3 linked regions of the Cricetulus griseus genome follow. The protein of the gene in region 1 purifies or fractionates together with the protein of each later gene. This does not show direct contact. Links are inferred from orthologs where the notes say so. Each region holds a gene or a part of one and is shown in the gene's direction. Other genes may lie near its edges.

Region 1 (7,968 bases):
CCTTTCTTGGACCCACTGGCTGGCCTGTGCCTGTCTTCTTTCTTGGACCCTCATGTCCTTTGGCCTCAGCCCCAGATTGAGGAATCACCGAGGTGGCTTGTGCCTTTCTTGTTCTATCCTCACTTGGAAAGTCATTGGGTCTCGTTCTACCTCACTCATGGGGCATGCGCCTACCAGAAATCCGCTTCCCAGCACTTTTAATCTCTCCATGCTGGAACCCTACCAACCTGTGTCACCTTCAATCCATCTGCTGTCTTCCACCTGCAACAAATCTGCTTTTTTGTTTGCTGATGGCTTTGTTTGGGTCTCTGGTGGGGTTATCCACTTCTGGCCATGCCCCCTGGATGTGAGGCTTCCCTTCTTGAGCACAGTCCTTTCCTCTACTTCTGGCTTTTCCTCAAGTCCTGGTACCAGCTAACTGTGTCTCTCTCGCTCAGAGCCCTTGGCCCCCACCCTTTGAGTGATGACTCACTGGGTGGCCTGTGCCTGTCTTGAAATCGACCCTCTCTGAATTCCTGGGACACTAGGAACTGCAGACCCATGGGTCTTCTCTGCCTCACTCATGGGAGCTGTGATATCGTCTATGCCTCCTTGCTCCCATTCGAGACCCATTGACCATTCTTTTTTTTTTAGATTTATTTATCATATATACACTATTTTGCCTGCATGTATGCCTACACACCAGAAGAGGGCAGCAGATCTCATTGTAGATGGTGTGAGCCACCATGTGGTTGCTGGGAATTGAACTCAGAACCTCTGGAAGAGCAATCAGTGCTCTTAACCTCTGAGCCATCTCTCCAGGCCCCACTGACCACTCTTAATCAGCTGTTGCTGCGGGACTACTACCTGTTGGTCACAGAGCTGGAGGCGCAAGACGACCAAACATGTCCAGTGATGCTGTGGAGACGGGAAAGGTCAGGGGCTTTAAGCCCTAGGGAGTCCACTTGGCTCCACCTAGAATAACGTCTGCCAGGTCCAGGTGGTACCTGACTGTAACACAGAGCCTGGACAGTGAAGTGAAACCGCCGGCTACTTCAGGACGTGGCTAGCACCCCAGCTTTCCCAGGTCCCCCAAAGACGAACGACGCCCCGCCTTGCCCCCCAGGTCAGCAGGAAGTAGTCTTGAGAACACAGTGTTCTCATCCCCACCTCACCTGCCACCCCTTTCTAACTCCTCATCTTTTTATAATAAAAAGGGAAGAATGTTAGTATTCAGGCCATCTGTACTGGCCTGTTGTTTTATGACAAAGCGTGAGGGGAACCTTGGCAGATTCCATGACAGGTGAGAGTGACCTTGGTGGGGGACAAACATGCCAGGCAGACAGAGCTTAATGAGAAGTTTTATTAGAAAGGGAATGGGGGGTGTAAAGAGAAATGAGGTAAAGAGAGACAGAGACAGAGACAGAGACAGAGAGAGGACAGAAGAGAAGAGGGAGACAGGAAAAGTCCTGTCTGCCCCAGGGAAATAGCAGCAAAGAGAGGAGCATATGGGGTCAGGGGTCTTTCTTTTAAAGGGGTCCTTTGCACCGGCCTGCAGACTAGCAGTCCCCCGGACCAGAGTGCTGCCTGAGTGCATTCTGCCACATGACAGTGACAGCGGCCGGCCAGAGTAATGCCTGAATCCTTACACCTGTCCTTGGGGTTCTGACTGGATATGCTCTCAGCTGCAGCCACTAAGATCACCACCTGTGCAAATTCACTATGTTCCCTTTCAAAGGGCCCTGCCACCTCCCAACCTTGTCTTTTCTCCCTCTCTGTCCCTCCCTTCCTCTCTCCTGCTCTTTCTTTCCCCTTTTTATGATCCCTTTCCCTAATTAAAAACAAACAAACCCTGTGCTTGAATCCTGTCCCATGGTATCTTTCTCTCACACTTTTCTTAAATTACAACACCATTACCTACATTTTTCAGGGTCACGGTTATGTTTTATGACAATGTTTGGAATCTGCCATGGAAATAAATTTTAAATGTCCTGCACTAATCACACTTAAATCTTAGGACAGACCTATTTGCTGCAGAAACGGCTCATTATTAGGAATAAAAGCTTTTGCTGTGTTTCAGAGCCCACAGGCTGGGGGTCCCACCACCCACAGAGTGCTTGCTGGCCCACAACCATCGGTAACTCCGGTTCCACGAGATCTGATTCCTCTTAGGCTTCTGCACACACATATATAAAATAGACCTATGAACCATTCTTTTTTGTTTGTTTGTTTTCAAGACAGGGTTTCTCTTTGTAGCCTTGGTTGTCCTGGAACTCAATGCGTAGACCAGGCAGACTGGCCTTGAACTCACAGAGATCCACACCACCACCACGGGGCTATCAAGCACTCTTACTCCTCCAAGGTCAACTGTGGTTGCCTCGGAATTTCTATCTTGACTTCAATTACATTTACTAGCTCAAATAAGCAAGTTAAGAACCCTTTCTAAATTACAACTGCATTTTCGGGGCCCTCCCAGGCTCCCCTGCAGAAGGTCAGGAAGGACGAGGGGGGTTGGGTCGCCCTGGTCTTCCGTGTCCTTGAACCAGCTGTAGAGCCCGCCAAATTGTGTGCTGACTCCACCTTTCCCCGAATTCCATACCAGGAGGGTGGAGCAACCAGAAAACAAAACAAAGGGAAACAAAGTTGGGCGTGGTGTCACAGGCCGGGGGTGCTGGGGAGGCAGGGACAGGAGGATCGCGGCGAGTTTGAGGCCCGACTGAGCTACATAGAGCTAGTTCCTGTCTCAAAACACCAAACCCCGAAACCAACCAATCCTCCACCCCACAAACAAAAATCCCCGAAAACAACAAACTCCCCAAATACCCGGATGTACAAGGCGGGACGGAGTGGGGTGGGGCGGGGGGGGTGGAGTGACGGCTCCCACGCGCATGCGTGTCTCGAAGGCGTAGCCCGAAGCAACCGGCTGAGCGCGAATGTCGAGCGGCGATTGGACGAGACGAGAGCCCGCCCCACCGCGCTGACGTTTGTGCGCATGCTCCGCGCTATCTTCTCGTATTTTCGGTGCTGACGTCGCCCCTGGCTTCAGTTCGCGTCCGGACTTCGGAGGTGGCAGTTCCTGCGCTCCCGGGTCGGTGGGCACTGCAAACCCGGCCGCCTCCGGACCCTGGTTTGAGAGGAAGGTGTCCGCTAGGCTTTTCTCTCGCCCGTGCGAGCACCTCATCGGCTTAAGGTGAGTCGGTGGCGCGGTCGCGGGTGGCCGGGAGCACGGGCTCGCGCTTGTTTGTTCGCGCACGCGCACTCCCGCTTCCGGGGTTGACCCTTGCCCTTTGCCGTCGTTCCTAGCCGCCGTCGCGTTTGCGGAAGAAGCCGGATCCCGAGAAGAGGAAGGAGGAGGTCATGTCCTCGGCCGCCACGTCTAAGTACGTGAACGACATGTGGCCCGGCTCTCCGCAGGAGAAAGCCTCGCCATCCGCGTCGGGCTCGGGCCGCTCCAGCCGCCTGTCGTCGCGCTCCCGCAGCCGCTCTTCGTCCCGCAGCTCCGGCCCGGACTCGCGCAGTGCCAGCCGCTCGTCGTCGCGCAGCCATAGCCGGGCGCGGCGGAGCCGCCGCTCCCGCTCCCGGTCCCGCAGGCGCCACCAGCGCAAGTACAGGCGCTACTCGCGGTCGTACTCCCGCAGCCGCTCCCGCTCCCGCTCCCGCGGCCGCCACTACCACCGAGGAGATGGCTTTTACGGGCCGTCGCGCAGGTACTACCAGTCGCCGTCGCCCTACCGGTCCCGGAGCAGGTCGCGCTCCCGCGGGCGGTCGCATCACCGGAGGTCGTACTACGCCATCACGCGCGGCCGGCGCTACTACGGTTTCGGCCGCACGGTGTACCCCGAGGATCGCCCCCGCTGGAGGGAAAGGTCCAGAACCAGGTCGCGCAGCAGGAGCAGAACTCCCTTTCGCTTAAGTGAGAAAGGTGGGTCTTGGTGTCACTTTGACGCTTGTGCCTTTGGGGTTCTGGGAATTGAGACGCTGCCTTCCAGCCGTCGGCCAGGGAGGAGTCAGGTGGCTGAGCCAGTTTAGTTGGATTGGTAACATTGAAGCCGCAGCCGGGCGCACGCCTTTAATCCCAGCACTCGGGAGGCAGAGGCAGGCGGATCTCTGAGTTCCAGGCCAGCCTGGTCTCCAGAGCTAGTGCCAGGATAGGCTCCAAAGCCACACAGAGAAACCCTGTCTCGAAAAAAAAAAAAAACACACACAAAGATAAAGCCCGGGACCAGGCGCTTTTCCACCGCGTTTTCTTTGGTGTCAAAGATTTCTTGGAGGGAAAGAATTTTCAGCTGGTGAATAGGTAGAATGTAATTTCGCGCACCTTTCACCTTAAGAGTATAGAAAGTCCAAGTCCATTTATGGCCTCGCTGGCCCAAAGACAGGAGTCTCCTACTAGCGGGCCATTTTTAGTATGATCTTAAAATATGTTAATGACTTAGTTTAAGCTGGGAAGCACTTAAAAAACATTTTTTAAGACGATTTACTAGGTGGGAGGATTGGATTTTGCTAACTTTCAGGTGACTTGGTAATATTACAAAATAATAAATTTTGAACATGAATCCTAACACTGCCAAGATTAGTAGTAGTGGTAATAGAACTGTATAGTTACCAAACACCCTAGTTTACAGAAATGCTTGAAAAGACAAACAGTGCTGTTTGTCAGGACAGCTAACTGTAGCCAGTCGTGAGGCAGAGACAGGTGGATCTCCTGAGTTGCAGGCCAGCCTGGTCTATAAAGTGAGTTCCAGGACAGTTGGGATTGTTAAACAGAAACACTCTCAAAACAGGAGAAAAAAATAAAACCTAGTTTTTTGGGTAATTTTGGGAAGCTACTTTTCCCTCAGCATAAAATTGTGATTTTTGTTTTCCAGCAATGTTCATTAAAAGGAATGCATTACTGTTTTAGAAAACATACTTGGTTTGTTATTTGGGGGCTTAAGGAACCTTAGAGGATGATGAATGTTTTTTTAATGCCCTTAGATCGAATGGAGCTGCTAGAAATAGCAAAAGCCAATGCAGCAAAAGCTCTAGGAACAGCCAACTTTGACTTGCCAGCGAGTCTCCGGACTGCAGCCAAGGAAACAAGCCAGAGAGCAGCTGTTTTGAGCAGTGGCGCAAAGATGGAGGTAAGTATCTTCAGAGGGCTACTACAGGCAAATCTCCTTACCCTGTCAGTTTACTGTAGAGAGCCCTCCTGGGATGTCTTAAATCATTTGCCCAGAACAAAACTAATCTGACAAGTACTAGACCGTCTACCAGGAAACTGGGAGATGATGAACTTCCTTTCATTCTGATACTTGGTCAGTTTTTCCATAACAATAAAGCCACTGATTATATTATTGTTAGTACTTTGTCTTTTTCTTGCTCTGTCTAGTCTTTAGAGACTGGAGTGTTCTATCAGTAGCTTTCATTTACAGCATTGTTCCCAAAAGTCTGTGCTCAGTATACAGTATAGTTTATCTGCTTTATTTCTGTCTTATAGAAATCATGAATGTGGTCTCCAGACAATGATGAAGAAAATCTGTTGGTAATTGATTATGGGTTAAAATGCCAGAGTTGATGTTCAGAGACTAAAGCTTAGCTTTTGTTGAAGGTAGTCCATGTGCATGTTAGAGTTTTGGGCTAGGGCTATTTGTGTAAGGTAGTTTGACAGTTCAGCCTGGATGCACTGTGTAATGGTGGGGCATCTGTGCTCTAGATGTCCCGTTCATAATATATGCAATATATTCCAGATGTTTTGAGAGATTACGAAGAAGAGGCCTGCTTCACTTGCAGATAAGTTTATTACAATTCTCCAGAATTACAAAGGATGTGCATTGGCACATTGAACTGTACTTACAAGTTAATTGGTGTGAAACCGGAATCTTAAGTTGATAATAGTCTGGGGATGTAGCTCAGTTGGTCTAGGGTGCATAACACGAGGGGTTAGATCCCAGCAGTGCAAACTGGGTATAGTGCCCCACACTTGTGATCCTAGCACTTGGGAGACAGGATTGTTCAAGGTCATCCTTGGCTACATAATTAGGCCAGCCAGGGGATAGATGAGAGACCTGGTCTCAAAAAAATGCTTTATAGAAATTTAACATAAAAGTTAATTGTCCAGCCAGGCGGTGGTGGCCCACGCCTTTAATCCCAGCGCTCAGGAGGCTGTGGCAGTCAGATCTCTGTTAGTTTGAGGCCACCCTGGTTTACAAGAGCTAGTTCCAGGACAGCCTCTAAACCCACAGAGAAACCCTGTCTCAAACAAAAAAAAAAGTTAATTGTCCAATTAAGATGGTTTCTACTGCCTACTGTTTGCTTAGGCAAGTACCTAAGAGGTGCTCCTGGAGATGATTGAGGCACAACGCAAATGCCTCCAATCTTAACAAAGCGTTTTCTATTGCACTTACTCAAAAATGAGTTATATTCACAACAAAGAATCAGGTATTCCTGGGGAACTGTGTCTACTTCTGAGTCAGTCTTGTTAAGTGGAAACAGTTTCTTTGTTGTCTAGCTTGTTAGCTGGCAATAGATGGAATTTGGTTTGTGTGTCTACATCTACAATTGTGTGCAATTGGGCTGCTTTTTATACAGTATTCAAAAACTAAGGCTATGTTTAAAAATTCTCTACCCCTCTAGCACTCAGAAAATCAAGCTGAAGATGAAACTAAAAATCACAGTGAGAAATCTTCCACACAAAGAAACATAGCCTTCAGCTCTAATGTAAGTATAGCAGAACATTGCCCTTGAAAATTGGATATATTCAGTGTAGGGTTTGTTGTTTTTAACTTGTATTGACAATCTCTGGGAAGTTGACTTGAATTTATTGTCTTACAGAATTCCATAGCAAAGCCGATACAGAAAACAGCTAAAGCTGCTGCTGAAGAGACATCATCAGGGTCACCAAAAATAGATAAGAAAAAAAGTCCTTATGGACTGTGGATACCTGTGTAAAGAAAAACCAAGGGCTGGGGTTCCCTAAAACTGCACTTTACTGAGAGTTCCTGTCCTCCAGCATTCGCCTACCTGCCTGAGTATCATGGCAGTAAATGTTGTGATTAAACTCCATTACATCAAGAAAGATGCTTGATGGTGACATGTTCACAGTTGAGCCTTCTCTTGAAATTATAGGAACACAGATGGACCAGAAAATTGCATACTGATGGAAGTCTTGTATATACTTGTAAGTATTGTATAGTATTGCATATGTATATGGGTGAATTTTGTAAGGCACAGCTGAATACTGTGTATTTTGTACATTTGTTAATAAACTTATTATTTGTCTTGATTTCCTGGATATTGAATGGATCTACTTCTGATGAAGAAACCTTCCTAATCCCAAATCTGAGTCTGAACATGCAAGATTAATTCAGAAGAATGTGTGGTGGGTTGCAGGGAGAGGCTGGTCTTTTAGTTTTAAATGTGTATCCCTGACTATCTTTAGAGTTCCATTGGTAGACCAGCTGGCCTGAATCAAACTTAAAATCTTGTCTCTGCCTCCTGAGCACTCTTAGGTATAGCCTGAGGAGGGCAATAAGAATACTAAGTGTGAGGGTTAAATGTCAAAAGATCCTTCTGTGGCTGGAGAACAGATGCTCAGTGATGTATGTACTTGGCTGTTCTTCCAGTGGACCCAGGTTTGATTCTGAAGACCCTAAGGTGTCTCACAACCATCTGTAACTCCCAATTCCTGGAGATTTAACATCCTCTTGCTGCATGTGGGGCACTGACATACAGGCAGATTAAAAAACAATGGTCTGCCAGGCATTGGTGGCGCACGGCTTTAATCCCAGCACTCGGGAGGCAGAGGCAGGGGGATCACGGTGAGTTCGAGGCCAGCCTGGTCTCCAGAGCGAGTGCCAGGATAGGCTCCAAAGCTACAGAGAAACCCTGTCTCATAAAACCAAAACAAAATCCCCGCAAGCCAGGTAGTGGTGCTGGTTTTAATCTCACCACTCTGGAGGCAGAGGCAGGCGAATCACATCTTTTGGGCCAGCCTGGTCTACATACTGA
Region 2 (8,004 bases), on another chromosome or scaffold:
TTTTACTAGAGCATTCATTATGCTGGTTAAAGAAAACAAGGGGAGACAGTCTGTTCCCCAGTGATGAACAGTTCCTGTTCCCCAGCAAATTAATATGGTGTTTTCTGGGTCAAGGAAAAATTAGCTTACATTGACTGACTCCATAACAAGCACTGGGAACTTACCATGGAGTGACTGGCTGCAGTGAGTACTAGGCACTTCCCAGAAAAGGAGTGAAGGATACAGTTTCTGAGTAACTTAATGTTTCTGTGCAGAATATGTTCATCACTTTAACATTGTGGCAAAATTTTAATAGAGTATTTACTTTTTTATTGGGCTTTTAAAACAAGTGGGTTTTTTAACAAAGCTGCTCAGGGATTAAATCAGATGGAAACCCCATTCTGACTCCACATATTACTACAGAGAAGTTAATGCTTATCTTAAGCTGCAGAGCAGTGCCCTTTAAGCTTTCTTAAGAAAGTAAATTGTTGATGGCAGTGGTCACACATGCCTTTAATCCCAGCACTCAGGAGGCAGAGGCAGGCGGATCTCTGTGAGTTCAAGGCCACCCTGGTCTGCAGAGCAAGTTCCAGCACAGACAGGGCTACACAGAGAAATCCTGTCTCAAAAAACCAAAAAATAAGAAATGTGAAATGTGGGCTGGAGAGATGGCTTAGCAGCTAAGAGCACCGACTGCTCTTCCAGAGGTCCTGAGTTCAATTCCCAGCAACCACATGGTGGCTCACAACTATCTGTTATGAGATCTGGTGCCCTCTTCTGGTGTGCAGATATACATGGAAGCAGAATGTTGTACACATAATAAACAAATAAAATCTTTAAAAAAAAATGTGAAATGATTCATGATTTTACTGCAATACAACCTGAGCTACTGAGAGTTACTTTAGTGTTTAGGTAAACTCTCTCCGACCTGAAGAATCCAATCTCGACTGTACAGCCTCAAACACTGAAGGTGAACAACCCTGAAACACCCAGGGCAACGGTTTCATTGCCAGGTTCCCATGAAAACCTTTGCACCTCTGCCAGCTCAAACAAGACTCCAAAGCAGCAAAACATTTACTGTGATACAAATCCTTGTACTCAGTTACCAGGATCTGTTTGGAACTATGGCCATGCATCTCCGATGCCATTCCTTGAGCTCATAAGCTAGACTGTACCTGTGGGGAAACCATTTTATGTTAATTTGTTGTACTGTAGGAAAAAACCTAAAAAGCAAAAATATCAAGGTGATTTGAACTTGTGCTGTACTCTGATTTCAAACATAAAAACAGTCCTGTGTAGTGCTTTTGACTATCAAATACATAAAAAAATGAATCTTTGTTTATGATTCTTTTGTTGGACTTCTTTCCCTTATTTATAGAATGCTGTTTAGATTATTAAACAGTAGTCTTATTGCCATTCATTTCGTAAGACTTGGTATCTATATTTTGGGGTTTTTTTCCAGACAGGTTTTGTTTTTTTTGTTTTTTTGTTTGTTTTTTTTTAACTCCGTGGCTTTGGAGGCTGTCCTGGAGCTAGCTCTTGTAGACCAGGCTAGTCTCGAAATCACAGAGATCTGCCTGCCTCTGCTTCCCAAGTGCTGGGATTAACAGTGCCTGCCATCACCGCCCAGCTGCCAGACAAGATCTATGTAACCCTGGCTGTTCTGAAACCCACTGTGTAGACAGGGCAGGCTGTCTCCTTAAACTCAGAGCTGTCTCCTTCCAGGTGCCGGGAGTATAAGACATGAGTGTTTGTTGTTTATGTGTTTGCCTGTTTAACCTACATGTCTGCACCACACTCACGCCTGGTGTTCATGGAAATCAGAGTCTGATGCCCTAGAAACTCCAGATAGATCTGGGACTAGAACTCTAGTCCTCTGCAAGAGTAACAAATGATCCTAACCACGGAGCCTTACGTCCAGCCTCTGGTATCTTCAATTCTTAACATAATGTGATGATGTAAGCCATGAATTCCTGCTTCCAGGAAAATGATAGTCCATTAAAAGCTGGATGAACTATTAGGGGGTGCAGAGGTTTCCAAAATAGATGCCACTGCATAGCAGCTGGGTGCAGGTCAACTTGAGCATTCCCGATGTTTAGAAGGTTCCAGAAGTGGTTTTTTGTTTTGTTTTTCGAGACAGGTTTTCTCTGTGGCTTCTTTTGGAGGCCGTCCTGGAACTAGCTCTTGTAGATCATGCTGGCCTTGAACTCAAAGATCCAGATCCGCCTGCCTCTGCTTCCCAAGTGCTGGGATTAAAGGCGTGCACCACCACCACCGCCCAGCAAAAATTCCAGATGCATTGTCCAAGGCTACAGCTTATTAAGGGTTTGAAAGAAGGGATCTGCGGATTAAATAAAACAGCGGGTCACTCTTGAAAGAAGAATGCCAATTTTATTTAGAGGGGAGTTGATTTATATACCATCAGCAGCACCCTAGGAAGTAACTCAGATCAAAGTCCATGCTCTTAAGGCCCTGACAATATGCAGATAATTTGCATATTTGTAAACAGGCCGTGTCTGCAGGAGGGAAAATGAATAGCACCTAGCCATAAGGCAGCCAGTAGCTCCCCAAGGGTCCTGTGGATCAGAGAAGAAAAGCAGACTCCCAGGGGGTCCCCCACATCCAGAAGACTTTTAAGTGAGGTGATCTCAGAGTATGTGGATTGAGAAGAGTGGGCAGTAAAGGAGAGACAGCCCATCAGCCCAGGGAGAACAGAGCTAAGGGATTCAGGACATCCCCGTTGCACTGGAGGCCCTCAGCAGAGGGCGCAGTCTGGCTCGGTTCCTGTCGCCCGGTGACGTAAGAGACCTTCCCGGGCGGGGGCGTGGCTTCCGGCGGTGTTCGAGGTCATATATACTGTCTTGCTCGACAGGGTCGTCACTCACTCCGCACGTGTCTTCCTCACCATGCTTTCTCTGCTGCGCTGCGTGCCCCGCGCCCTGGGCGCCGCTGCCACGGGCTTCCGCGCCGCTGCCCCGGCCTCGCCTCTCCCGCAGCTGCTGCAGCCCGCGCTTCGACCGTGCCTCCGGCCCTTCGGGCTGCTCAGCGTGCGGGCCGGCTCCGCACGGCGTTCCGACCTCTTGAAGCCCCCGGCGCCCTGCTCCTGCGGCTGTGGAGCTCTGCACACCGAGGGTAAGATTCACGCATCCAGGCCGGGATGTGGGGACCCAGCTTGGAACGGATCCCGAGCTGGACCCTCGCGATCGCAGGCCCCACTCCTCGTATCTTGGAAATATGACTTGGCAAAAGCCCGGAGGGGTCGTGGTTTGACAATGTGGTTGCTGGACATGGCTTTTGGCAAGTGAAAGCGGGTAGTTGGGAATTCTTGTTTTATACGGAGAGCAATAATACTAAGTACACTAAGGAGAAATAACTGCTAGAAGAGACATCCTGGTTTTACAGAGTGGGAAACGGACGTTTTCCGGAGTGAATTGGGCTAGAGTCATAGAGCAGCCATAGAAACAGATTAGGCACAGTCCAGGTCTATAGGGTAAGGCAGTTGGCTTTCTCTTTTTTGACCATGTTGGGTTGTCTTTTAGGAGACAAAGCCTTTGTTGAATTCTTAACGGATGAAATTAAGGAAGAGAAGAAAATCCAGAAGCATAAATCCCTTCCCAAGATGTCTGGGAATTGGGAGCTGGAAGTGAACGGGACAGAGGCTAAATTATCGCGCAAAGTTGCTGGAGAAAAGTAAGTACTGGCCCTGGAGTTCTAGGAGACTTTATCACTTACTCTGTCTTGGCCATCCCCATTAGGCCTGAGCTTAGGCCCCATGCTTTGGTAAAATGGCTTTTGAGAAAGCATGCAATTGGAAATTTTCTTAGGTTCCAGGGAGGACATTCACTGACAGATTTGCTGTGGCCTGGTAATTAATGTGTAAAGGGAAGGCTGTTGGGATGGCAGACACAGGCAAGCATTGGGTTATTGGTGACAGTGCTGTGCCCTGCCTGGATTTAGGCACTAGATTTTAGGAATGTTTAAAGTGCTGATTTGTTTAGAATTCACATAAAATTATCTCCTCTGGCTTGTGTTTATAACAGTTGAAAATGCAAGATATGTAACTTTTGTTTTTCGAGACAGGGTTTCTCTGTGGCTTCTTTTGGAAGCTGTCCTGGAGCTAGCTGTTGTAGACCAGGCTGGCCTCTTACTCACAGAGATCCGCCTGCCTCTGCCTCCCAAATGCTAGGATTAAAGGCGTGCGCCACCACCCACCCCGGCACGCCCATGCCTTTAGTCCCAGCCCACCTTTCTCTGAATTTGAGGTCAGCCTGGTCTACAAGAGCTAGTTCCTGGCCAGGCGTTGGTGGGGCATGCCTTTAATCCCAGCACTCGGGAGGCAGAGGCAGGAGGATCTCTATGAGTTCGAGGCCAGCCTGGTCTCCAGAACAAGTGCCAGGATAGGCTCCAAAGCTACACAGAGAAACTCTGTCTCGAAAACACAAAAAAACTAGTTCCTGAACAGCCTTCAAAGCCACAGAGAAACCCCGCCTCAGAACCCCCCCCCAAAAAAAAGTAACAGGATGAAATTACAGTGTAGAAAGGCCATCAGAGGTAGAGTTCTTTGTCAAGCTTAGCTTACCCCTCCCCTAAACGGGTCTCTATGGTACTTTGTAGCACAGACTGGTTCTTCATCCTTCTGCTTCAGATCCTATGTGCTAAAGTTTCAGGCCTATGCTACTACACCTGCTGCCCCTAAAACCTTTAACTTTGTTATGCTGATTTGTTACTCTTTCACCAGTCTTAGAGTCCTGCCTCTAAGGGCTTCTCTAGCATGTGTGAGGCCCAGGGTCAGCCCCCAGTGAGTGCCCCTTAAACACACATGTGTAAGAAAGCAGCTTTATCCAGTGGGGGCCTGTAACCCTAGTTCAAAGCTAGGCTGGGCTGTGGTGGTACACACCTTAAATCCCAGGGAGGCACATCTCTTGAGTTCAAGCTCAACCTGCTCTATAGAGCAAGTTCCAGGACAGCCAAGGCTTGAAAAACCTTAGAAAAGTTCAAAGCCAGAAGAAAAGGGTCATTGACTCTGGGGTGTGGCCACATTTGGTGATTGTCTTCTAACAGGGTGGAAAAGTTCTCTCAAAATTTGCAGGGCAGTGGTGGTGCACACCTTTAATCCCAGCATTTGGGAGGCAGCCTGGACTACAGAGTGAGCTCCTCTCCTAACCACCCTCCCTACCAAATCCAACTACATGCCCTGTCTCTTACAAAAAAAAAAAAAGACAAACCACCAGGCACACCAGTACTCAAGAGGAAGTGGCCAGTGGATCTTTAAAGTCAAGGCTAGCCTAATCTAAGTAATGTGTATAAAATAGCATTGAGTTTGTTTTGTGTTGGCCATTGGGACCTACCCTGAAGTATGATATACCTATTCATTGTAGAAGACTGATTTTTTTCTCTTTGCAGCCAGTACCAATTGCAGATATCTTGGCTTGGGAGCAGGAGCCCAACTAGCTTGAATATACCTAGCAAAGCCCCATTTCTAAACAGTACAGGTTGACACTAGTGGGTGTCAATCTTGGGTAGATCCATGAAGCCCTGGACTTGATCCCTAGCACCAAGGATGGAGAGATGTCTGGCCCTCTTAATATCATTAATTTAAGGAATTAGGTTCCTGCATACATGAGGGGAAAATGTAAGCCATGTTCAGACTGCCTGCCTAACATGTGTGGGGCTCTGGATTCAATCTCCAGCACTACACACACTTAGACTTTTTAATGTTAGGGCTAAGAAACCATTGCCTGGCCAAAGGTTGCAAAGAGTTCTGCAATTCAGTGTGCTTTTATGTGGGTTGGCACTGCTGAAGTAGAATGGTCCTGAACTTCTGCTTCCAGGTATCATGGCAAAGAAATTTATCTCATTTAGAGCATGTTTTGTCACATACTAATTCCTAACAAGGTAAAGTTACCTGGGCACAGGGACAGTATGCAGCTGTGAACGTTTGCCTGGTGTTTGCTTGAGCTCAAACCTCAGAAAGGGGGGGAAGGAAAATTGTTACTGGTGGTTCATTTGCCTTGTGGCTAAAGTTCTTAATCCCCCATGCAGAGGGCTGGGTTGGAGACATTGTTTCCGTGTGCCTTTGCACCTGCCTTTTGTAGCAGGCCTCTCTCTTCTGTGTACCACTTGGTTACTCTTGTACCTTAGTGTGTTCTCACTTGATTTTCTAGGATCACTGTCACTTTCAACATTAACAATAGTATCCCTCCAACATTTGGTGGTGGTGAGGAGGAGCCCTCCCAAGACCAGAAGACTGAAGAACAGGAGGTAAGCTAGTGATACTGTGGCCAGCCATTTTTCTGTCTTAAAAGGCAAGAAAGACTTGGGGTTGGGCGGTGGGAGTTGTTGGTTTGGGTTTTTGTTTTTGTTTTTGTTTTTTTTAAACATAGTCTCCCTATAACAGTCCTGAGTGTCCTGGAACTTGGTTTGTAGATCAAGCTGGCCTCGAACTCAGAGTTAACTGCTAAAATTGTTTCTGAAATTCCTTTTGTGCATATGATTAATGCCAGCACATGAGAGGCAGGGGAGTCTGAGTCCCAGGACAGCCAGGGCTACACAGAGAAACCCCGTCTCAACCAATTACCCCGCCCCCCCCAAAAAATTTTTTTCCTTATGAAAGAGGAAGTGGGAATGCCATTCCCTGGGTTTGTAGAGCAGTATTTTGGAATGGGTTTCAGCTGGAGGTGAGAGCCCTGTTCTAGGGTATATTGCCCCCTCTGCAGGGTTTAGGCTTGATTGTCGGGCCTGTGTTCTGTAAATGCAAAAGAGATATGACTGTCACCCCTGCCTGTGTTGTAGGGGGAGTACTTAGTGTCAAGACAACATCATTTGACATGTATTCAGTGTAAAGACAACACAAGCAGCTTGCAGGAATCAGTTTCATCCTGCCATGTGGGTTGCACTGGGCTTTGGGAGCAAACACCTTTACTTGATTAGCCATTTTGCTAGTCCAGCCTTAAGAGATTTTATATTTGGCCAGCTGAGATTTTTCCTTAGGTTGCTGGCCCACATGGCTGGATCTAGATAGTATTCGAACATCTTAGAAATGGTATGTCTGGCCTAGAAGCCAACAGCTGTGAGAGCCACAGGCTCCCCAGGCCATCTGACTATGCAGTTGTCAGCACTGTTTACAGACCAGTGTGAAATGCAGAGTCCCCTGTTGTGTTTCTGTCATAGTCTACATGCACACCCCAACTCCTTATGTATAGTTTGGGCCTGTTCCTTGGGTCACCATAGAAGGAAGTTGGATGTCTTTTCTGGTTAAGGTGGCCACTTAGCCAGAGCTATGTGTGCCAGGCTCTGACCCTGCTCTAAAGCAGCCACAGGGGAAGGCACTCCAGGTCTGTGTGCTTCACCCAGCACTTCAGTGTGTGGGAGCAGAAACAACTCTGAGGGTCTGGTACAGGTCTGAGCTAGAACATAGCTGTACCTGGCTTCAGGCACCACTTTAAACCCCTGTGTTCTTTTAGAAAGTAAGTTGCTAACAAGATGGAACTGTTAGTACTATGTTGGAAGATGGCTGTGGCTGTCACACTGTGCACTGAGGCTGTGGGTCTGGGTGTGCACCCTAACAGCAATGGCTATCAGACACTGCACCACCTGAGGCTGCCGGTCTGGGTGTGCACATACCACCAGCACTGACTTGTTCATGTTTTTCCAGCCGGAACTGACGTCCACTCCCAATTTTGTGGTTGAAGTTACAAAGAGTGATGGCAAGAAGACCCTTGTGCTGGACTGCCATTATCCTGAGGATGAGGTTTGTAGGGTGGAGTGACTTCTGATCTTGTATGTACAAGAAAGACCTGGTAGCCTAGACCAGGGCGGGAGGGGAGACAGGTGAGAGGGGGCTAGAACTGCAGAGCCTTTCCTGGCACTTCAATTCCTTACCTTTGATCTCTCAGTTTGGAAACGAAGAGGACAGCGATATTTTCTCTATCAAGGAAGTTAGCTTCCAGGCCACTGGTGACTCGGAATGGAGGGATACTAACTACACACTCAACACAGATTCCCTGGACTGGGTGAGTCCTGCTT
Region 3 (7,982 bases), on another chromosome or scaffold:
ACTTTAATCCCAGTGCTCGGGAGGCAGAGGGAGGCTGATCTCTGTGAGTTCGAGGCCAGCCTGGTCTACAATAGCTAGTTCCAGGACAGCCTCCAAAGTCACAGAGAAACCCTGTCTCAAATAAAACAAAAAACCAAAACCTTGGTGGGGGCTGGAGAGATGGCTCAGTGGTTGAGAACACTGACTGCTCTAAAGAAGGACCCGAGTTCAATTCCGAGTAACTACCTGACACCTCACAACTGTCTGTAACTCCAGGTCTAGGGGATCTGACACCCTCATACAGACATGGATGCAGGCAAAATGCCAATGCAAATGAAATAAAAATAAACATTAAAAATAAAGATCCTTTGTGATGGCACTCTTGGTTGTCAACTTGACCACATCTGGAATTAACTAAAACCCCAAAAGTCAGGGCATATCTGTGAGGGATTGTTGCTTAATTTGAAGTGGGAATTTCTTCTTCTTCTATTATTACTACAGTGTTACAGTGTTTCTATGTGTAGCTTTATAGACCAGGCTGGCCTCGAATATATATATATATATATATATATATAGAGAGAGAGAGAGAGAGAACATTCTATAAGTTCTGTTATTCTAGAGAACCCTAATACCCTTTCCTCCTAAGTGGCTTTTGGTCAGAGTGTTTTACTACAGCAACAGAAGAGGTAACTGGAGCCACCTTGTAAACCTATATTGGACTTCTGACCCCCAGAACTGTAGGATAGTAAATCTGTGTTGTTTCAGGCCCTGGCATTGTTACTAAGTTGTTACAGTAGCAATAAGAAACTAGCACAGGGAGGTGGAAAGACAGTTTATGTGCAACATGTAACACACAATTGTTTAATTTCTTTTAAAGACATTTGGACTTTTTATTCCATGTAGACTTGAGACAAAAAAAAATTTAGAACATCCATCAAGAAATTATGATGATAGTTGGGCATGGTGGTACATGCCTTTAATTCTAGCCCTTGGGAGCCAGAATCAGGCAGATCTCTGAGTTCTGAGTTCCAGGCCAGCCTGGTCTACAAAGTGAGTTCCAGTATAGCCAGGGCTACACAGAGAAACCCTATCTTAAACAAACAAACAAAAATCAAGATCAAAGTATCCACACAATGGAAGGAGAAAAATGACTCATAAAGCCAAAGCCATCCTCTGACTTCCATACATGAACCATGGCATGAACCTGTCCACACAACATGCATAGGCACAGCATAAGTAAATAAGTAAACCTAGCCAGGTGGTGGTGGTGCACGCCTTTAATCCCAGAGCTCAGGAGGCAGAGGCAGGTGGATCTCTGTGCGTTCAAGACCAGCCAGATCTACAAGAGCTAGTTCCAGGTGAGCCTCCAAAGCCACAGAGAAACCATGTCTCAAAAAAACAACAATGAAAAAAAGTAAAAGTAAAAATAAGAGCTAGAGTTATTAGATTTTTCCTTTCTAATTTACACCAATCTTTCAAATTTTGAAAATTGTCAAGTAAAAAGGTACTCTGAAGTTACATTTGAAAAATCATCAAAACTTTTTTTTTGGGGGGGGGGTAAAGACAGGGTTTCTTTGTGTGGCCCTGGCTGTCCTGGAACTCACTTTGTAGACCAGGCTGGCTTCAAAGTCATGGAGATCCACCTGCCTCTGCCTCTAGAGTGCAGGGATTAAAGGCACATGCCACCACCACCTTCTGGTAGCCACCAAGCTTTAATAGCCATAACAAGAACAGATGTTACTTGGTTTATTGATGATTCCAGACCAATCTGCATCTGGTGCCCTTTAAAAAACAAACCAATATTCATTTATTTGTTGGTGGGGTTGGGGGTAGCCAGAGGCGCTGAGTAGATGGAGGATTACTTAATAGGAGTTGGTTCTCTCTTTTATTCATGAGATTCATGAGAGTGCTAGCCTTCACAGCTAGGATCTTGAAACAAAAACAAAACACAGCTAGGATCTTTACCTGAATGAGCCAGGCCTGGTGAGTTTTTCAATGGGAAGGAAAGAAATGGGTGAGGCTGTTGGAAATAAGAGAGAGGTCTCTGAATCACGTACCGGTGCAAGAAGGTGTGTGTGTACCTTTACGAGCCACATAACCCCTAGTTAAATCACTTATGTTCTATTAGGCCTTAGTTCTCTATCTGTAAAATGGGATGTTTGGACACCTTTTTAAATTTCCCTTCTAGCTCAGCATTCTGAATTCAGGAGTTCCTAGATTTAAGATATGTTTGCTTTGTTGCATGAGCTCTAAAAGGAAGTTAGAAGCCTCGAAAGAAAACCTTCTGCACACATAAAGAGGAAAAAAAAAAAGCAAGGGCAATGGGGGAGGAAGGAGGAGGATAAGGGAAGAAGCGAAAAGACAACCGACTGTATACAGAAAAGAGATGCAGGCATGAAATACACAAATAACTCAAGGTACACAAATACACAAAATTCGGTTGTCTTTTAGAAGCAGAAATAAGACATTGCCCCGGCCATCACATTTTGCTTTTGATTGTGTACACATAATAACTCCCACCTCTCGAAGCCTCAGAAGCAAAAAAAAAAAAAATAGGAAAAGCTGAAAACGTAAATTTTTTGTTTTTTAAAGAAAAAAGTGCAAGAAGCAGCTTGAAACCGTAGTCTCCGGACAGAAGCGGGTTGTCCCGGCATGCGGGATGGCAATTTCCTGTGCCACCCCGCCATCCTGCCGCTTAAACCAGCACACAAAAGAACCAGTGAGCGCCCTGGGAGCCGCAGCGAGCCCTCCGCCGGGTCCCCAGGCCCGCCCGCTGGGGCCGCTACGCCCTGGTCTCCGCCCCTCGGAAGTGACGTATCGCGCCCCGCCCCCACCGCTAGATCCGCTGCTGCTGCCTCGGCGGGCCGACCTGCAGGAGGAGGCGGCGGCAGCGGCGGCGGCCCAGGCCGAGGGAAGATGGCGGACGGCGTGGACCACATAGACATTTACGCGGATGTGGGCGAAGAGTTCAATCAGGTACGGGAGGGTCTGGGCTCCGCCACGGACGCCGACGCTGCGGCGGCCTGGACGCTCGCCACCAGGGTCGCCGCGGGAGGGCCGCGAGCCGGGCTCGGCTGCAGACCGTGCGCCCTTGGCGCCTCTGGGCCGCGCCGCTGTGTGAGTGTGTGCGCGGCGCGGCGCCCCCTCACCCCTTGTTCTCGCGCGTCGTTTATGCGGGCCGCGGGCTCTGGAGCGCGGGGCCCGGTCGCCGTGCAGCCGCCCGCTCGCCGGCTCGCCCGCCCTCCCTTCCCTCGAGGCGGCCTCACGCCCCATTGTTGGCTACGGCGGCGGGCGCTTCCCGCCGAGCTAGGCCGCGTGTGCGGGGCGGGGAGAACGGGCCGCCGCGCCCCCTCCCCCGCCGCCCGCCTGATGGTGGGGGGAAGCAGCCCTGGCTGGCCCGGCGCGCGCCCGCTCGCCCGCCCGCCCGCCCGTCGCCTCCATCCCGGCCCTGCCGCCGCTGGGTTCCGATTCCTCCCGTCGCTCCATTTTGTGTTTCTTGTCGGCGCACGGTCGCCCTCATGGAAGGCCGCGTTCACAGCCCTTTGTATCCCGCGCGCCGGGTCTCCCGGGCTCCTTTGCTCGCGTTGGCGACAGGTTTCTGCGTGGTGCCCCGGTCCCCGAGGCGGGGAGGGAAGGCGGCTTAGGTGTGGGTACGTCTGCAACAAGTCATCTGACTTCTGGACCCACTGAGTTCATTTTGAAAAAGTCTCACGGTGCGATGGCCCGCCGTGGCCACCGAGGGCTTGCGGGGGCCTTTGAGGCCCGGTCCTTGGCCTTTGTGAAGGGAAATAATAATCTGGGAAGATAAATGGCTTGCGCTAAAGACTTGGATGCTCGGTGGTTGGACAGAACAAAAAGATGGTGGTCTCTCGCTAACAGATCCCGGAGGCTGAAACGGAGAACGTCCACCCGACATTCTTACCGTGTGATAGCTTGCTTACGAGCCGTCGTGGAGGTGACTGTGTTTTGAAAGCCGAGTGTTAGCCCGGTGGGGCCCTACTTCACGATTTGAAAGGCTTGAGAAAGTGAGAAGTATCAGGTTTTCCGGTCTCACCGGCCACGGTCGCCTAGAACTAGCTGGGATGTCTGATGGTGAACATCCTTGGACAGGTCTAGTTACCGGAGTTAGTAACGTTTAGCCTCTTAGTCCTCTCCATATTTTTATTGCATTTTGTATGTTCACGTCACTTTTTTTTTTCCCCAAGTTGCATCCAACGACAGTGCTGCTAAAAGCTGTGGGTTTTTTCTTTTTAATTTTTTATTTATAAAAATGTCCCAGGTTCAGAGGAGAAGCTTAATAAGATGCAATTGATTAATAGCTTACCTTCTAATAATCGTATTTATGACTAGGGATGCAAGATTTAAAAAAACAAAACAATGGAAACTCTTAAATCCTTACTTGCTTTGTTTTTCAACAATGACAGTGTGCCTCTGGTTTAAGTATTAGAAAAAGAGAAGCAAATTTTGATAGGGTTTAATTACTGCTGACTTAGACACTAGATATTTTTAAATGTAATTAACCCGTTGCAATAAAACGTTAAGTTTGAAAATCTGTTTTTTATCGTGCCTGAGTTGTTAGTTACAACTTAGAAATTTTCTTTTGAGTGCTACAGAAATAGTAGATTAGTTAAGACCTCCGGATCCCCCCCCCTTTCATCTATCATGACATGTAGCATTTCCAAAACACTGTCATAACTGTGACTAAAGGAAAAATAAAAGTTTGAAACAGTCTTCATTAGCTTTTTTTAAAAATAGTTTTTTCCCAAGACAGAGTTTTTCTGTGTATCCCTGAATGTCCTAGAACTCACTGTGTAGACCAGGCTGACTTCAAACTCAGAACTCAGATCTGCCTGACTCTGCCTCCAGAGTTCTGGGATTAAAGGTGTGAGCCACAACTGCCTGGCTATCATTCACTTTTTTCACTAAGAGAACATATTGCTTTGTTTTTGTGCTCTCAGTAAGGAGGAATTGGGATACAGTTTTAGAAATTAAGGTTTCTCAATTGGTCATGGTGGCACAAACTTTAAATCCCAGCAACCAAAGTTGTGCTTTACCAAAATGCAAAATAAGCTTATAAAACTATGCCTATTTTAAATAGTAAATGGAGAACAAGATTAGTGTCTACACAATTTCAGAGAACACCAAGTACAATTAAAACTACTGCTCACAATAGAGAACAAAAGATGTGTTTAGAGGCTGGAGAAGGTGGCCCTGTGGTTAGAGGACAGTTGATCTCTTGAGTTTGAGGCCTGCCTGGACTACAGTGTGAGAGCCTGTCTCCCAAAGAAAAGAAAGATAAGCTTTCTTCGTTATCTCTATGAAATATGTTCAGACTGTTGAATACTTAATTTAGGAAGGACAGTATACTTATGATATAACTGGATGTGGTGCTAGCTAGCAAGAGGTCAAGAAAAGATAACACTTTTTTGATTCCAGTGAGGAACTACTTTGTAGGCCTCCTTTTTATAAGTGTAGCTTTTCATTGACTTGTAGCAGACATGTGTCTGCTACATGGTTGTGTAATTTTACAAGGAAAATCTTTGTAGGTTTAGATAGATTAATTGGAAGGGTAAGTAGAGGCTTTTTCCAAAATCCCTTGTTTGCAGCTCTGGGGACTGAACCCAGGCCCTTGCACATCTAGGTAAGCAAGCACTCTACCACTGAGCTGTATGTTCACTCCAGAGGTATGTTAGTGCTTGCTCTGAATTCCCGAACAAAAAAGTAGCCACCAAAAGATTGTCAGTTATTTTGAGATTTGTCATGTTTTCTATAGATGTTACTACCATTGAAGTGTTTTCATGAGATCCTACCCAGAATTAGAAGCAACAACAAAGTTGTTGATTGATTTAATCTCCCTCTTGCTTGTTTTTCTGTCTTGTAGCTCATGTTGACCTAGAACTTGTGGTACAACTGCTGCCTCAGCCTCTCCAGTGCTGGGATCCCAAATCTGTGCTAGCCATCAGGCTCAGTTCTTTTCCTTCCACTCAGGCCCTTGCACATGATAGGCAAACACCTTATACTCCTGTCCTGCATCCCTGTTATTCTCTTTTCTCTTACTAGGTGGTAGCCTTATTTCTACTAGCTGCTGTAGTTACCAATATGATATTTGATTGTAGTTGAGCAAATATTTTTCAGAACTAATCATTAGCAATTTTTAGTTATTTTGATTTCTAAACATTTATACATATTAGTTTTTTTTTTTTTAATTTTTCTGGGCTGTGTTTGTGTACGCCTTTAATCCCAGCATTTGGGAGGCAGAGGCAGGCAGGCAGGATCTCTGAGTTTGAGGCCAGACTGGTCTGCAGAGCCTGGCTCTGCCTCCCGAGTGCTGAGATTAAAGGAAGAGCCACCGACGCCTGGCTGTGAGCTGCAGTTTTAATTGTATTTTGTATTCTCTGAAATTCTGTGTGTAGTCACTGGTCTTGTTTTGCATTTTGGCAAAGCACAATATTGATTGCATGAAGTATGAGACATGAGTATTAAACGCTTTAATTTGGGATGGGATGAGACTAAGTGCATTTACTTTCTGTACTAGGTGATTTTTAAGAATGGAGAATGAAGACAAGAAGGCATAGAATCATATGGGCAGCTTGGATCTTAAAAGGTTTTGGATGTGGCCAAATGGAGAATAGTTTCTCCATGGAAGGAGAATTTGAACTACTGAATCTGTGCATTTATTACTACTGACTTTCAGTTAAGCAGAAAGCAGAATGCTCCCCTCCAGATTTATTCTTTTATGTGTATGAGTGTTTTTGCCTGCATGTATGTATTTGTATGTGCATTCCTGGTGCCAGTGGAGGTCAGAGGAAGGCATCAGATCCTTTGGAATTGGAGTTGCAGATGGTTGTGAGCCACCATATGGGTGCTAGGAACCCAGGTTTCTAGACAGTGCTCTTAACCCCTGAGCCATCTGTCAAACCCCAAAGTCCAAAACTTTTTGAGTATCCTGTTGTTTTTTTTTTTTTAAAGTTAGATATGCTCAAGTTATATTCTGTAATCCAAATAGTATATATTTTGTTTATCTGGGGGTCAGGTGCTTTTAATGTAGAATTTAGTAGTATCTGGTCTGTCAAACTGTGGGTTATTGATCGTAAGCAGTGCTGATTTAGTTGATCTACTTACTTTAAAAGTAAATGGACCCAGCACTCGGGAGGCAGAGGCAGGTGGATCTCTGTGAGTTTGAGGCCAGCCTGGTCTCCAGAGCAAGTGCCAGGATAGGCTCCAAAGCTACACAGAGAAACCCTATCTCAAACCAAAAAAAAAAAAAACAAAAACAAAAAACCAGTAAATGGAGTAATGACTGGGGTTGGGTCAGTTTTGGAATTAAGGATTTAGATGTCCTCTTTTGTAAAATTTTGTTGAATCATTTCAATTTATACTTAGTCATTGTTTATTGTAAATGAACTATTTTTCTTGTGGAACCTTATGATAACTTAATGAAAATAGTTGAAAGATAAATCAATAGGGGCTGTTAAGATCTAATTTAGCATTCTGCAGGAATTATAACATTTAATATGCTTAGCATACTCATAAAATAATGTTTTCTGGGGAAAAAAAGGATCCACATTTTCTATATCCAAGAATTCAGCTGGGATCTAAAATACTGCCTGGGTGACATTGCACATGCATTGCATATGTACAGACTTCTTACCGTTATTCCCTAAACCAGTACAGCATAATCACTTTTCCATAATCATTTACTGTGTTAGAATTTTTAAGAAATCTAGAGATTAAAGTATATGAGAGGAAGTATAGTTTATAGGTAAACACTGCACCATTTTATATAAGAGGCTTAAACATCTGCAGGTTTTTGGTGTTCTTGAGTGGGTTGGGGATATGTTGGAACCAGTCTCTTGCTACTGGGTTTTATGTGCTAATTTTTCACATGGCATTGAACAACCTTTGTAATGAGGGTATAACTCCCCCATCTCTTAGAGTTCTTTAAAAGGAATGGCTGTTAATACTTTTTTAAAATAAGGGTATTTTGAAATTGGTGCTGTCCT

Evidence for each region.
Region 2: the proteins of Rsrp1 (region 1) and C1qbp purify together in Homo sapiens (affinity purification with mass spectrometry; 3 studies listed by BioGRID and IntAct, counting the BioPlex papers as one, with this or other methods). This does not show direct contact. The link is inferred for Cricetulus griseus from reciprocal best matches to the Homo sapiens genes RSRP1 and C1QBP.
Region 3: the proteins of Rsrp1 (region 1) and Cpsf6 purify together in Homo sapiens (affinity purification with mass spectrometry; 3 studies listed by BioGRID and IntAct, with this or other methods). This does not show direct contact. The link is inferred for Cricetulus griseus from reciprocal best matches to the Homo sapiens genes RSRP1 and CPSF6.

Annotation. Positions count from the first base shown.
Region 1 is NC_048595.1:18,350,234-18,358,201, reverse strand, and holds Rsrp1 (arginine/serine-rich protein 1), read left to right. Parts: upstream 1-3,008; 5' UTR 3,009-3,169; intron 3,170-3,282; 5' UTR 3,283-3,336; coding exon 3,337-3,901; intron 3,902-4,956; coding exon 4,957-5,102; intron 5,103-6,594; coding exon 6,595-6,678; intron 6,679-6,792; coding exon 6,793-6,909; 3' UTR 6,910-7,243; downstream 7,244-7,968.
Region 2 is NC_048600.1:84,784,799-84,792,802, reverse strand, and holds the start of C1qbp (complement component 1 Q subcomponent-binding protein, mitochondrial), read left to right. Parts: upstream 1-2,820; 5' UTR 2,821-2,885; coding exon 2,886-3,111; intron 3,112-3,518; coding exon 3,519-3,669; intron 3,670-6,143; coding exon 6,144-6,240; intron 6,241-7,633; coding exon 7,634-7,729; intron 7,730-7,874; coding exon 7,875-7,991; intron 7,992-8,004.
Region 3 is NW_023276806.1:138,943,049-138,951,030, forward strand, and holds the start of Cpsf6 (cleavage and polyadenylation specificity factor subunit 6), read left to right. Parts: upstream 1-2,798; 5' UTR 2,799-2,895; coding exon 2,896-2,955; intron 2,956-7,982. UniProt on the Homo sapiens protein: Component of the cleavage factor Im (CFIm) complex that functions as an activator of the pre-mRNA 3'-end cleavage and polyadenylation processing required for the maturation of pre-mRNA into functional mRNAs.